2 linked regions of the Tamandua tetradactyla genome follow. The protein of the gene in region 2 binds, or shares a complex with, the protein of the main gene of each other region. Links are inferred from orthologs where the notes say so. Each region holds a gene or a part of one and is shown on either strand. Other genes may lie near its edges.

Region 1 (7,652 bases), on a different chromosome or scaffold from region 2:
GCACTGCTGCTCCGGCCCCATCTCAGGGGAAGCATCTGAGACCCAGAGAGGGACCTGAGGGCCACCTGCCTGTCCAGGTGATCTATGGGAGCCAGTGGTGGTCCATCCACATGTTCCGTGGGCACGAGGGTGGGTGCTGGGTCCGCATGTGTATATGTGGGTGCTCTCCTGGTGCCCCGGGGCGCGCATCTGGGCGTGCCTGCTGCATTCATAGATGCTTTGGTGGGCACCCACTATGCCCCTCAGGTATGTGCAGCTGCCCTGGTAGTTGTGGGGAGACTCAGTGACATCCCCAAGCCCCAGGGAGGCCCCTTTCTGTGCTGCCTAGGGCTTGCAGGGAGCCAGTATGTAGGTGAGCATGTGGGGCTACTCTGGGGGTAACTTCTGCAGCCCCTGGGGCCCACTCCTTGGGAGCCAGAGGCCACCAGTTCCCAGACTCTGCATTCCACAAGCACTTAATATGTGTGCTAAGTGTGGATGCATTTCGCTGCATGTAAATGCGTGTCGCCGTATGTTCCCGGCTTGTCTGCTAACCCATTTGTGCCTCATTTTCCCTCCATACAAGTGGTCCCTATCAGGGTCTCTGGGGGCTGCTTGGCCCACACACTGGTGAGCTTGGGATGTGTCCACGGCACGTACCAGGATGTGTGATGCTGTGTGCAGTCCCGGTTTCTCCATGGCGCATGTGTGGCACATCTAGGGCCCCCCCCCCCGGGCTCAGGCAGAGTGTGTGCTGGGCTGGGGTGGCCTGGCCTGGGCGGGGGCAGATTGGCCTCAGCGGCCTCCACATTCCTGAGCGGTGACTCAGGCCTGTGGGGAGGGGTGAGTCAAGTTGGGAAGCTCCAGCCCAGTGTCCTCTGCCTCAGCAGGGACCCCTTCCAAGGCAGAAGACGGAAACCAAGGGCCTCCCTCATGACAGGAAGCACAGCCTCCTGTGTTCCCAGCTCACAGGCACCTGGGGCCTCCTAGGGACCTGGGAGGTTCCCACCTGTTGGTGCTGGTGGCAGCAGGGGAGGAGGGCAGGGTTAACCCTTCCTCTGATGGGCTTCTGGCCTCGGGTTCCTGCTCCTCTTCCCTTTGGGGCCCTGGGCTACTGCTGCTGACACGCTGCACAATGCCCATCCCAGGGCCCTGAGTCACGCGACCAGGCCCTGCCTGGAACATGTGCTCCGGGGTCCCTGCTTGCCTGAGTCATGCACATGCAGCCTGGGCTGGGCTGCTTCTGGTCTTCCACCTGATGGCAGATGCCACCACGGAGACATGGAGGGCATGCACCCCTGCAAAAGTGTTCCCACCGCCACATACCCACACACAAGCAGTCTCACATACACCCTTCCACGCCCAAGTACACGCACATCCACATAGCAGATTTACGCATTTCCACGCCATGTGCGTGCATGTACACCTGTGTCCGGGGTTTCATGAAACACACTTCTATACCTGTATGCACACTCATTCACACACCAGTAATTTCACACATTTCCACACCCATTGGCACTCACACCCACACTCACGAGTGCCCTGGGTTTCACACACCCTTCCACACCCTAGTGCACACACATACCTGTGTCCTGGATTTCATGCACACACTTTCATCACACACCCACACACCTGTGGCTTCTCACACAAACTCACGACCATGTGCACACCCACCCACACACGAGTGCCCTGGGTTTCACACACATCCTTCCATGCCTGTGTGCCCTTGCACCCACCCACCCACTGCTGCCCAGCCAAGCACGTCTGGAGTCAGCTTTGCTTGTCCACCTGTGTACCCACGGGTCCCTGTCGACATCTGCTTGCCCACGGGCATGCACGCACGCACACGTCCGCGTCTCCTACCCCCACCCTGGCGCTGGTCCCTGCGGATCTGAGCCTCTGAGCCGGCCTGGCGGACTCGAGTCGGGGCCAGGACCGCCCCACGTCTGCGTCTCCGCCGGCGGCTTCCAGGTGCACCGTGGGCCTCCGCCTGGCCGGGAGGGGGCGGTAATTACGCGGCCCCGGGGTGCCCACCCCCCCACGAGCCTTTCATCCCCGGCCACACCCGTCCCGGGCCCAGACGCTCATTATCACCTCGCGCCCGCTTATTAGCCGGGTTTGCGAAAGGACCCGGAGTCCCGCAATCCCCACCTCGCGCGGGGAGGGAGGAAGGGGCGGTGCGAGAGCCAGGTAGCCCCGCCCCATCCCCCAGGCGACGCCTGCACCACCCACGGGGTGGTCCCTGGTCGCGCTGGATGCGGGGAAACGGCGGGTCTGGGGAAGGGGTGCGTTGGTGGATGAGGCAACCCGGGAACCCCCGGCTTAACGCCCCAGGCTCCAAGGCTGGAGAGGAGCACCGCGCGCGGGCACCCTCAGCCCGGCCGGGCCAGAAGACCTGAGCCTTCCGGCCTCCGTGTGAGCACTGGCCTGGGGTCGCGGTGTTCCCAGCCCGCGGCTGCGCGCACTGGCAGTCTTGGAGGAGATGGGGGAGGGGGCTTCTCTCCCACCCACTCAGGGGGGCCGAGTCGCGCGGCCTGAGCGAGGGGCGGGATCGCAGCGCCCCCAAGTGTCCGCAGCGCAGAGCACGCCCGGGCCAGGGCCCGCGTGATGCAGCAGTCCCGGCAGGAAGCACAGAGATAAGGGTAGTTTCGGACCCCTGGGAGCCCCTCGCAGCGACGCGCAGTGCAGGGTATACGCCGAGTCACAGGTACACACAGACGTAGGTAACCACAGAGACACAGGTACCGAGACAGGTACACACCTGAGGCCCAGGTACGCAGGGAAGACACCCGGCACAGTCCAGGTGCTCCGGGCAACAGGTAACCCCCTGTGCCCCTCACCGTCACGGGACACAGGCAAACTCCTCTGCAGGTTCACATAGAGCCCAACATGGAGGGGGCTGGTAGTAAACGCTTGACAAGCATGTGTCGGCAGAAAGAATGAATGAACGCGGGGCGCTGCACGAAACCAGGAACCAGAGAACAATGGGAGGGGACATGGAGGGCGCCCCTGGACCGGGGCTGCTACAGAGCCCCCTGGCCTGGTCCTGAGCGAGCAGCAGCCCTTTCTGACTGAAAGGGTGGGCTACCTGTCCCCAGGCCTCCGGGCTTCCCGGCGGCTCGGGTGGGTACAGGGCCCCCCTCCATGGGTGGCGGGTGGGGCCGAGAGTTGACATCTCTCTCTGCGCATGGCTGACGCAGGAGCTGCTGCCACGGCGGTCTGGGACTCACGTGCCGGGCTGTGGCGTGGGGATGCACGGTGCCGAGGGAGCGAGGATGGGTCATGGAAGGGGAGGGGGCCCCTGAGTCGACGGGATTCCCGCGACCTTGGCTTCGCCCTTGTATCCCCTGCTGTGAGAGTTAGCCAGACCCACTTGTGGCTGAGAGACATGTCTGGGTGAAGCTGGAACTCGTCTGGGGTCCGCTCCAAGGAAGGGTCTCTGGTCCACGTCGCCCCCTGAAGCTTTATGGAGGCAGGATTGTACCTTGGGCCACTGGTCTGGACCAGCAAGAGCTCTGTACTACTTTCTCTTACTCCAGGAGGGTCCAGAGCCACAAGAGCGGCAGGGTTCCCACAGAGCTAGTTCCCCTGATAGCAGAGGTCTTGAGGACCCTCCAGGACCTCCACCTCAACAGCGGATGTCTCTGAAAAGACAGGCAAGTCAGAGGGGTGTTAACAGAGCACACCCCTGACCGTCCCCCCCAGGAGAGAGCATGCAGCTTGTGGGGGTGCAGAATCCCGTGGTGGCTGCCTTGTTGCTGGCAGGGGGTCGAAGGCTGAACTGAGCGTTGGGGAGCATGCTGAGGGGCCTGGACTGAGATGCACAATACCCCGCCAGGCAATTTTTGGGACATAGGCGACTCATTGGGCTCAGGTGATGTCTGAGCTTGGTAGGGAGATAGGTATGGCTGCCTATTGGGGTTTGTAGTCAAACTGGCTTGGCTGAAGATGTGACGACCAAAGTCTTGTGTACTGAGAAGACGTGGATACTGATGAATGTTGAGGTTCACATAAATTGAGATGCGTCTGAATGCTGGGGCGAGGCTGGGCATTGGGGTCGATCGCGTGAAGCCGTGTACCCACGGGGTTTGGGTTCCTGGGAATACTGGGGTGCCGTTTTTGTGGGCAAGGTACCAGAAAGATGTCGCGGTAGAGATGAAGTTGGGGTGTCTGGGGGATAGAGCTTGGGTGGGTATTGGGATCCCAGTTAGGTCGGGATGTCAGCAGTTGCTGGAGTACAGCTAAGGTCGGGGTGCAGTAGACACCGAGAACCCCTCTAGGTTACGGCCCCTGGAGGTAGCGGCGGGAGACCCCTTTGTTCCCCGCCTCAGGCCGAGGGGTGGAGGGGCGGGCACGCGGAAGTGGGTCAGCCCCGCCCCCAGCGCGCTGGCCCGTCCCCGCGCACGCAGACGGGGAACTGCGGCCTCCTGGCCGGAACGCCCCCGCCAATCACCGCTCCTGGTTCCAGCGAGGCGGAAGAGGCGGAGCCGGAGCTGGCCCTGCCCCTCAGTCATGAATATGAGGCGCGACGTCGGCCATCCGCGCCCCGGATTGGCTCGTGTGGCTCAAGGGGCGGGCACAGAGGCGGGGCCCGGAGGCGGCATATATAAGGCCGGGCGCCCGCGGCCCCCCCTTCACTCGCGCGTTAGGAGGCTCGAGTTGTTGTACTTCGTCTGTGTCTTCTCGCCTGCTTCAGGGACCTGCCCAGCTCAGTGGTGAGGCCCTGGCGACGCCGGCGCCGAGCAGCCCGGGCGGCGGGCGGCTTCGGCAGGCCAGGCGAGGCGGGGCCGCAGCGGCACGCCCCTGGGAGGGGGCGGTGGCCGGGGCGGGCCAAGGCTGGCGTCCGCCCCGCCGGCGGCAAGGGCAGCGGGGAACGGGGCCGAGCGGCGGCCGGAGGGCGTGCCCCCCGCGGGCTAAGGCCGCTGGTGAGCGGGGCGCTGCCGCAAAATGGCGGCCGCGGGCTCTAGGCTGCGCCCAGCGAAATGGCGGGAGCGCCCGAGTGCCCGGATGGAGTGGCGCAGGGCGTGCACTGTGCGCATGCGCGCGAGGCGGAGCCTGGGCGGGGCGGGGCTCCGGAGCCCGGCGCTCTTTTCTCTCGATCCTAAGTTTCCGTTTTCCGATGCTGGGGTCGCTCGAGGGGGAGCATGCCCGGTTATTCGGGCCCTAAGTCTCTTCCCGGCCGCTCTTTTGGGGGCTGCTCCGCGCTGGTTCGCCCCTCCCGTCTGGTTCCCCCGCAATGGCCAGTTGGGGTCACCGCGCCCTGGGCGCACCCTCCCCGGGCCCTGCAGAGGTCCTGTTTACAAAGCTGGCCCGCTTCAGTACACAAAGCACCTTCCCACCCAGCAGCCGACAGAGAGGTTAGGTGGGTCCCTCGGGTAGCTAGGGAAGAACCTAAGCCCCTTCTATGCAAAAAGGAGAGAGTAGAGTGCACTCCTGTCCCTAGATACTTCCGCATGAGAATACCTGTTCTCAGCTCTAAAGGGGCCATGAGGGGCATCCACCTTGCTGTACAGGGGCTGAGAGGCCCGGCTCTGCCCAGGAAGCCTTCGGCGTGGGGGGGGGGGTAGTGGGGTATGTGTGTTGGGGGCGGGGGGGTGGCTAACAGATTTATTTGAATTTAGAAGCCCTGGACATAGATTTGAGATGACATAGGTGCAGGAAAATGATTTTTTGACGTCTTCCCAGAGCACACGACGTTTGTATAAAACAAAACGGGCGGGGAGGCTGAGGCTGTGTCTGCCACAGGCATCATGGCATCAGACGAAGGCAAACTTTTTGTCGGAGGGCTGAGCTTTGACACCAACGAGCAGTCTCTGGAGCAGGTCTTCTCCAAGTATGGACAGATCTCTGAAGGTGAGCTGGTTGTGGGCTGGCTCGCGCCTGGTCCTGGGGAGAGCTAGGCATTGATTGCAGGTCTCTCTCCTGTACAGTGGTGGTTGTGAAAGACAGGGAGACGCAGCGGTCACGAGGGTTTGGGTTTGTCACCTTCGAGAACATCGACGATGCCAAGGATGCCATGATGGCCATGAATGGGAAGGTGAGGGGCAGATGGTGGGGTTGGCAGAGCACCACCCTGTGGGTGGGCAGACTGGAGGCTGACTAGCCACCTCTTCTCTCTTCTCCAGTCTGTAGATGGGCGACAGATCCGAGTTGACCAGGCTGGGAAGTCATCCGACAGCCGGTCCCGCGGGTACCGAGGTGGCTCTGCTGGGGGCCGGGGCTTCTTCCGCGGCGGCCGAGGCCGGGGCCGTGGGTTCTCCAGAGGTGAGTGCCAGGCATAAGGCCAGAGGCATGTGGTGGCAGTGCTGGCAGGAGCTGTGCTCACACCATCATCTGGCCTGTTCGTGTCTGTGTAGGAGGAGGGGACCGTGGCTACGGGGGCAGCCGGTTCGAGTCCAGGAGTGGGGGCTATGGAGGCTCCAGAGACTACTACAGCAGGTGAGGGATGCCAGTTGGTGTCAGGGAGGGAGATCCAAGTGAACCAGGGAGGGGAAGTGGCCGATCAGGGCTTTGGGTGGGATGCGGCTTTGGGTCATCTGTAGGTGTGGCCAGAGAGTGGGCTGGCAGGGGCTGGAGGCCAGCAGCTCCACAGGTCCTCTCTAATACCTCCATGTGTCTTTCTCCCAGCCGGAGTCAGGGTGGCGGCTATGGTGACCGGAGCTCTGGCGGGTCTTACAGAGACAGCTATGACAGTTACGGTAAGGCCGGCTCCGAGGGCGCCACACTATGTGGCCTGCGGTGGGAGCCCGGTGCCCCTTGGCGCCCCTGCGAGTGACTTAGGCTCACGCTCAGATCTTACCGCTGTGCTTGCCCCTAAGAAACCAATCTTTCCTCTTGGTGCCAGGAGCCATTTCTACCACAAAACAAAAAGCAAAAGCAGAGCCAAGCACAAGTCCAGAAGGAAAGGGAGAGAGGGAGCCGGCATGCCGGCCTGAGTGCATGTGGGGGCCGGAGACGGCCGCCCTCAGCCGGGGGGTTGGTGCTCTCGAGGTCCAGGCCCCGCCTCCAGGCTCGGCCTCCGGGGAGTGAAATGCTGCATCTTGTCGCTGACCTCAGTGCCTTTACACTGTACTTGCTTCTTGTCCTCAGCTACACACAACGAGTAAAAATCCTTCCTGCTCAAGATCGTCCTTCCAATGGCTGTATATTTAAAGATTTTGGGAGCTTCGCTGAATCGTTAATGTGTAGTGAACACACCTCCTTGTATTTCCACTTTTGTAGTCACATCAGTTCTGATCTTGTCAAACGCAGCCTGACAGCTTCTGACCCCCGATGGCCTAGTTAGCAGACTTAATTTTTTTTAATTTTTTTAATTTTTTGAGGAAGCGCTGTTCGTTTTTAAAAGTTTTAAAAACGTTTTGAAAAGCACTTCGGATTTTACTTTTTTCTTTTTATCATGAGCCATGTGTTTTTTTAAATCGGTGGGGTTTGTGTGGGTTTTTTTTCCCTTTTTGGGGGAGGGAGGGGGTGTTGCTTTTTTGTTTCTCTTTTTGGTGGGGATGGCCCTGTGATGTTTGGGTACCCCGATTCCCTGCTCTTTGAAACGGAGAGGACTCTGAATCCACTCTTTATCGGAAGCTGAGCAAGCTGTGGCTTTTTCCCAACTCTGTAACGTTTCTGAGTGTAGCATGGTAGGACGGCGGCCCCTGCCTTTCCGTCCCGTCTGCACAAAG
Region 2 (7,046 bases):
ACTTGCAGCCTAGGAGCTGATTTTAAAGAGCTGAGCATTTTTTTTTTTTTTTTTTTTAAAGGAAAGACAGAGAGAAGGAAGGAAGGATAGAAGGAAGGAAGGAAGGAAGAAAGGGAAACATTTTTAAACATTTTCTTGTTTTATTGTATTCTGTTTCTCCGTTTTTGTTACATGGGCTGGGGCCGGGAATCGAACCGAGGTCCTTCGGCATAGCAGGCAAGCACTTTGCCCGCTGAGCCACCGCGGCCCACCCAGAGCTGAGCATTTTAAGTACCAGTTATGAGTTTTAAAAAAAGGGGAGGAGGAGGATTAAAAAAAAAATTCTTGGGAGCATAAAATGCAAACATAAGAAAAGTAGTTTGTCGGTTTGTATCAGCCGCTTCAGTTTCCAAGATACTTTGCAAACACAAACTCACAAAGAAATAAAGGACAGCAAAGTAGAGTGTAAAAATCAGGGAGAGGAATCATAAGATACCTGAAACAACTAATATAATAGGTTATAATTAGAGGTAATAAAGGACTTTTCTCAAATGCCTTAGTGGATGCTCACAATATTTCTATGGAATAATCAAGGAAGCTATTATACGCATTTTACCAATGAAGAACCTGAAAGTCAGAGAAGTGAAAAGGCCAGAAAACCACTATGCAGCAAAATGAGATTTTCTGAAACCAGAATTGATATTTTTTAACTTACACTGTATCACACCCCAAAACAAGGGGAAATTCATATGCATAAGAATCTGGAAACCTGAGAAGTTTCGAGAATAACAGACTCAAACTAATTTAGGCGAGGATTCAGAAGAGACAGTCCTTCCTGCTTCAGCCTGTGAGCCTCTCCTATGGAGTTCATCCAGACCCTTCAAGTGAGTTGTCAGCTTCACAGCCTGCTCTGCGGATTTTGGACTCTTCAATTCCCACGGTTGTCCAGCCAGCCTCTCCTGAGAGTTTGCTGAGAAACTTCATCAGAGCTACTAGCTTGTGGCCTGCCCTACAGACCTTGGACTCTACATCCCCATGACTGAAGTGGTAAGAGATCTCTTAGAGTGTAACCAGGTATGCTATTATCCAGCATGTCCTAAAGAAGGGGAAGAATGGTTGGCCTGAAAAAGAGACATGTAACCTGGAACACTGATGCCCTCCAAATGGAGTTCTAAGGAGGAGCTTTGATTACTACTGCCAAAGGTGAGCGCTTTATTGCACAAAGCAATTCAGCTATTGATATGCCCACATTACAAGAAAATGGCAGTAGAAGTCCCAGGAACCCTGAGCTATTCAATCAAGTGGTGACAAACATTTACCCAATATCAGTAAGTCAAGAAGACTACCATACTCTGCCCTCAGAGAATGGAAATGGAACTATCACTTATGGCAGCTGAATAATAATTTGGGCCACAACGCCGTGGAATGGACAATTGGGCTTGATGAGGCCTTTAAATCAAGAAGTGTGATGTGGAAAACCAAACCAAATGATAAAATCTTTAAAGACCTGTAACAAGTTATCAATGGATAATACATAGTACATAGCACAGCAAAATTGAGAAGGGAAAATGATTCTAGCCTACCTACTCATCTTTAAAGAGTACCATAAGATTGAATAGTTAATGCATGCATGTTTTTAATGCCTTCATCATTTTCAGGAAAATAATTATAAATACACATTATTAGAAAAAGGTCAAACCTCATTATTGTATGGAAGATACTGACAATAAAAATACTGACATCATATTCATTTCTATCCCAAATTTGCAGGGATATCCAGAGACTTCTTAGACATTTAATTTGTGTCAGATTCTAAATGGTGGAGTTTCTTGTTTCAAACATTTAGTTTCCCATAAGAACACTTTAACAGGTAACATTTGTGATTAGTAGCATATATCTTCTAAAATTTGTTTTATTATCAGATTAAAATTGGTGTTTTAAAGAGCTTATGTTCTTTCGGTTAAAATTAGTCCACACTAATGGTATTTTGGTTAAAAGAATTTCTTTTCCTTTGTGTTCAGGTGGTTTTTGGAAAATTTGCTTAATAGTTCAATATTAAAGTTGTATTTTACTAAAAAAAAAAGAGAGAGAATCGAGGAGAACAGTAAGGTGTGAGTAAGGTAACGATTGGGAAGGAACTGCCAGATGCAACACACGGGTAGGGAGAAGAGGCTGATAAAACATTCCTAAAGAAAAAGACGGAGATGGGATTGGGTTGAAGGAAGACAAAACGGGAAAGCAGGGCTTAAGAAACAGTAAGGTTAGAACTTAGAGAACCAGATCGATGTCACAAGCAAGAAGGATAGGACACACAAATCAGATTCTACGGGGTGAGAAAAGGGCCAGTTCGCGACCGACCGACCGACCGACCAGCTGCGATTAGCTTCCGAGAAGCAGCAATAAGTAGCTTCGCAGCCCCACCCCGCGGCAGCAGCTCCTCCCCAAAGAGGACCTCACCAGGCCAGTTGCCAGACAGCGGCTACCCCCTCGAGCCTAGAGCCCACTTCACCAATGCCCCGCGGCACAGAACGGCCTCTCTGGGCCCCTCACCGAACGCTGCAGCTCCCCAAGCCAAAAGGAGGCGCGCTCCTTTCCGCTGGGATCTGGGTCGTGGTAAAGCGCCTGCACTGCCTGATACACGAGCTGCAACGTCGGCTTTGTCCCTTCCATGGTGGAGGCAACAGTGGCGGCAGCGACGGCTGTGGCTTTTCTCCTGAGGCTTCTCCAGTAGCTCCGCCTTCGCGTTTCCTCACTGCCTCGGCCACGGCCGCTCCCTGACTGGCGCCATCTCCTCCTCTTTGGCCGTTACCAGGGCAGAGGGGTTCCCAATGGAAAGTGACCCCTCGGAAACAGCAGTGAGACCGTATTCAGGTTCCTGCCCTTTTTTCCCCGATTCTCCCACTAGGCTCCAAATTTCTGAGTCCGGACGCTGATGCCCCACTCCTCACCCGCTAGCTTTCCCTCAGAAATCTATCGCCGCCTGACAAAAACCTCGGAGTGTTCCTAAACCGCGTTTACCCGGACCGGAAGCGGCGACACCTATACCTTTGGCACACTTCCGCCTTGTGCACTGCGAACGGACTCCTTCCCGACACGCCTCCTCCGTGTCTCCCCGCCTCCTTCCGGAAGTGACCCTGCCGGTTCAAGAACGCAAGCAAGGGTTTGGTTTTAGTGTTCTTCGTTTTTTTTCTCCGATTCGAGGTTTGGGACCGATGTGCACCCCGTCCCTTAACCGCTCTCCTCTCCTTGGTGATGAATCCGAGCTCTTTCTCTTCCCTCATCAGGAAATCCTTCCTGGCCTGTTGCATAAGGCGCGTCAATTCAACCCTCCCCAGTGTCCATTGTACTGGAAACGGAAACATGGCTTAGTACAGATTCGTGCGTTGTCTCTATTTTTAATCAAATAATTTTTTTCAAATTTGAAATAGATGCCACATTGAAATAAATGCAAAATATCTAGAATCCCTGTTTCGCTCCCCTTTCCCACTTAAGTCTTTACACCCAAAGGGGCCTTTCATTTTACTACTCAGGACGCTATGAACTCCTGAGCACTTATTTGCATACATCTTTAGGATCATTTCCATAGTGAATTGTAGTTTTGTGCATACCTTTCCGAATCAGTGGTCTAAAAGGGGGGAAAGATAAGGTATCAGTGGCTAAGAGAGTTCAAATGAGTGAAGAGGCTATTCTGGAGGCTACTCTTAGGCAAGCTTCAGCTAGATATGGCTAATTGCTACAATTTGCCAAACCCCAGCCAACATCATTCCTGTTAACTCTGAAGAACGGCCAGGGCTCTATCTGAGCTCTTACAAAAGTTGATGCACTAAGTTTACTTTTCAGAAACCTAAAACCTTCAGATACTTCCTGTGCCAGTTAAGTCCTGAAACCCAGAGATGCCAGTCTCTCCAAGAACATCAACTAGTTCCATCCCCCATCCCATGTTGTCCACACCCTTTTCAACATGTAATGTTACAATGGGCATAATTCAAATATCCCTAAAGATTGGGAGAAGGATCAAAGGAGAAGGAGGAGTTATAACACGGAAGTTAGGGTTTAACAAATGGGTAGGGCTACTGAATCATTGTGTTGATATTTTGTTTTTGTTGTTGTTTTTTTTTTTTTTTTTGCATGGGCAGGCTTGGGAAATCAAAACCAGGGTCTTCAGCATGGCAGGCAAGAACTCTGCCTGCTGAGCCACCATGGCCCACCCTTAATATTTCTTTTTAGTCTCCAGTGTCTTGGAGCAGCTAGAAGGAAAGTCCTGAAATTGTGGAACTGTAACCCATACCAAACGTTGAAATCTGCTCTATAACTACTTGTTAAAATTTATTTTGAAATCTAATGCTTTTTAATATATATGTTATATTTCACAATAAAAATGTTTTAAAAATTCAGTGGTCTAACTTTCTTTGCAGAAATGGAAAAGCTAGACATCATATTCATAGGGAAAAATAAGCAGCCCAGAATCAACAGAACTATCTTGAAAGAAGAACAAGGTTGGAGGACTCACATTTCCTTATTTTAAAACTTATTACAAACAACTATTACTAAACAGCTTTGTACTAGCACAAGGACAGGCATATAGACCAATAGAATTTGAGGGTTCAGAAATAAACTCTCACACCTTTGGCCAACTACTCTTTAACAAAGATGTTATGCCCACTCACTGAACATTACATAATGTTTCTTCAACAAATAGTGCTGCGACAACTGGACAGCAATTTGCAAAAGAATGAAGATGGACCTCTAGTTCACACCATATACAAAATTCAATTAAAAATCAATCAAAAACCTAAATGTAAGAACTAAAACTGTAAAACTCCTAAAAAAAACACATAGGGAAACCTTCAAGACCTTGTATTCAGTGGTGACTTCTTAGGCTTTATACCAAAGGCATGAGCAAAACAGGAAAAAATAAATGGGACTTTTATCAAAATTAAAAACTTTTGTGCATCATAGGATACCATCAAGAAAATAAAAAGACAACCCTGAAAATACTTGCAAATCACACCTGATAAGAGTTTTGTATCTAAAATATATTTTTTAAAAAACTCTTACAACTCAATAAAAATAAGGCAAGTCATTTTTTAAAATGGTAAATGCTTAAATAGATACTTCTGTAAAAAAAGATACACAAATGGCTAGTGATACACGAAAAGATGTTCAACATTATTAGTCATTAGGAAATGCAAATTAATATTACCAGATACTACTTTACACCTACTAGTATGGATAAACTTAAAAGACAGAAAATAACAAGTGTTGTCAAAGATGTGGAGAAATTGGAGCTCTCATAGTTTGCTGATGGTATTGTAAAATGGTGCAGCCTCTTTGGAAAACAGTCTGCTAGTTCTGCAAACAATTAAAGTTACCATATGTCGAGGACTTCTGGAGAAGATGGCGACTTAGTAAGACGCGCAGGTCTTAGTTCCTCCTCCAGAACAGCTACTAGAGAAGTTGAAACGATTCAGAACAGCTCCCGGAGCCACAACACAGACCAAGAAGACAGCGTACCCCATTCTGGAATGGCTGACTGGGTGGAAGCACACGCTCCGGTGAGATCGCCGAGGGGCGCGGGCTTCCCCGGGCCGGGGCGGCAGGCAGCCGGGGTCCCTCCCTCCCTCCTTCCCGGGCTGGCTGGGAGAATTGGACAGGTGGTCCCCTCAAGCCGCGGCGGCTGGCACCACCCCCACGCGCGGCCCCTGGACCAGCTGGGAGAATTGGATCGGAGATCCCCAAGCCGCGGAGAACAGCGAACGGGGTCCCTTCCAAACACGTGGCTTCCCGGTCCGGCTGGGAATGGTAGATAGACACTTCCCCAAGCCGCAGCGGCTGGCGCCCCCCCGCCACACTTGGCGCCCCAGACCAGCTGGGAAATTTGGACAGGTGTTCCCCCAAACCGCGGAGGCCGGTGACCCTCCCCGCGTGCGGACCCCCGGGTCGGCTGGAGATTCGGATTGGCACTTCCCCAAGCCACTTCGGCTGGTGACCCCCCCCATATAGAGAGTTTTCCAAAGTTAAAGGAGCCACAGCATCTTTTACTGGTGGGACTCGCAGACAGATGAGCGCCACGAGTGCCACCTACTGGGCAGGATAAGAAACACAGAGCCTAGAGATTTCAAAGAAAAATCTTTCAACGTGCGGGGTCTTACACCCAAGGAAATCTGATTAAATGCCCAGACGCCAGCAGAAGATAACGAATCATGCTCAGAAAATTGAAAATATGGCCCAGTAAAGGAACAAACCAATAGTTCAAATGAGATACAGGAGCTGAGACAACTAATGCTGAATATATGAACAGAAATGGAAAACCACTTCAAAAACCAAATCGATAAATTGAGGGAGGACATGAAGAACACATGGGCTGAACAAAAAGAAGAAATAGAAAAACTGAAAAAACAAATCACAGAACTTATGGGAATGAAGGACAAAGTAGAAAAGCTGGAAAAAACAATAGATACCTACAATGGTAGATTTAAAGACACAGAAGCTAGAATTAGTGAATTGGAGGATGGAACATCTGAATTCCAAAAAGAAACAGAAACTATAGGGAAAAGAATGGAAAAACTTGAGCAGGGGATCAGGGAACTGAATGACAATATGAAGCGCACAAATATACGTGTTGTGGGTGTCCCAGAAGGAGAAGAGAAGGGAAAAGGAGGAGAAAAACTAATGGAAGAAATTATCACTGAAAATTTCCCAACTCTTATGAAAGACCTAAAATTACAGATCCAAGAAGTGCAGCACACCCCAAAGAGAATAGACCCAAATAGGCATTCTCCAAGACACTTACTAGTTAGAATGTCAGAGGTCAAAGAGAAAGAGAGGATCTTGAAAGCAGCAAGAGAAAAACAATCCATCACATACAAGGGAAACCCAATAAGACTATGTGTAGATTTCTCAGCAGAAACCATGGAAGCTAGAAGACAGTGGGATGATATATTTAAATTACTAAAAGAGAAAAACTGAAACCAAGACTCCTATATCCAGCAATATTGTCCTTCAAAAATGAGGGAGAAATTAAAACATTCTCAGACAAAAAGTCACTGAGAGAATTTGTGACCAAG

The links.
Region 1: the proteins of TNPO3 (region 2) and CIRBP are in contact, whole or in part, in a crystal structure (PDB 8CMK), measured with the Homo sapiens proteins. The link is inferred for Tamandua tetradactyla from reciprocal best matches to the Homo sapiens genes TNPO3 and CIRBP. Residues at the interface, in NP_036602.1 of Homo sapiens: Arg620, Glu660, Arg661, Cys663, Arg664, Arg667, Phe668, Arg671, Ser698, Cys699, Tyr702, Ser705, Ile706, Asp709, Glu710, Asp747, Asp750, Asp751, Arg754, Arg758; in NP_001271.1 of Homo sapiens: Tyr160, Arg161, Ser163, Tyr164, Asp165, Ser166, Tyr167, Ala168.

Annotation. Positions count from the first base shown.
Region 1 is NC_135337.1:81,719,892-81,727,543, reverse strand, and holds CIRBP (cold-inducible RNA-binding protein), read left to right. Parts: upstream 1-4,559; 5' UTR 4,560-4,694; intron 4,695-5,664; 5' UTR 5,665-5,729; coding exon 5,730-5,832; intron 5,833-5,909; coding exon 5,910-6,016; intron 6,017-6,104; coding exon 6,105-6,243; intron 6,244-6,335; coding exon 6,336-6,417; intron 6,418-6,606; coding exon 6,607-6,754; 3' UTR 6,755-7,054; downstream 7,055-7,652. UniProt on the Homo sapiens protein: Cold-inducible mRNA binding protein that plays a protective role in the genotoxic stress response by stabilizing transcripts of genes involved in cell survival. Acts as a translational activator.
Region 2 is NC_135327.1:170,509,766-170,516,811, forward strand, and holds the start of TNPO3 (transportin-3), read right to left. Parts: upstream 3,015-7,046; 5' UTR 2,650-3,014; coding exon 2,530-2,649; intron 1-2,529. UniProt on the Homo sapiens protein: Importin, which transports target proteins into the nucleus. Specifically mediates the nuclear import of splicing factor serine/arginine (SR) proteins, such as RBM4, SFRS1 and SFRS2, by recognizing phosphorylated SR domains.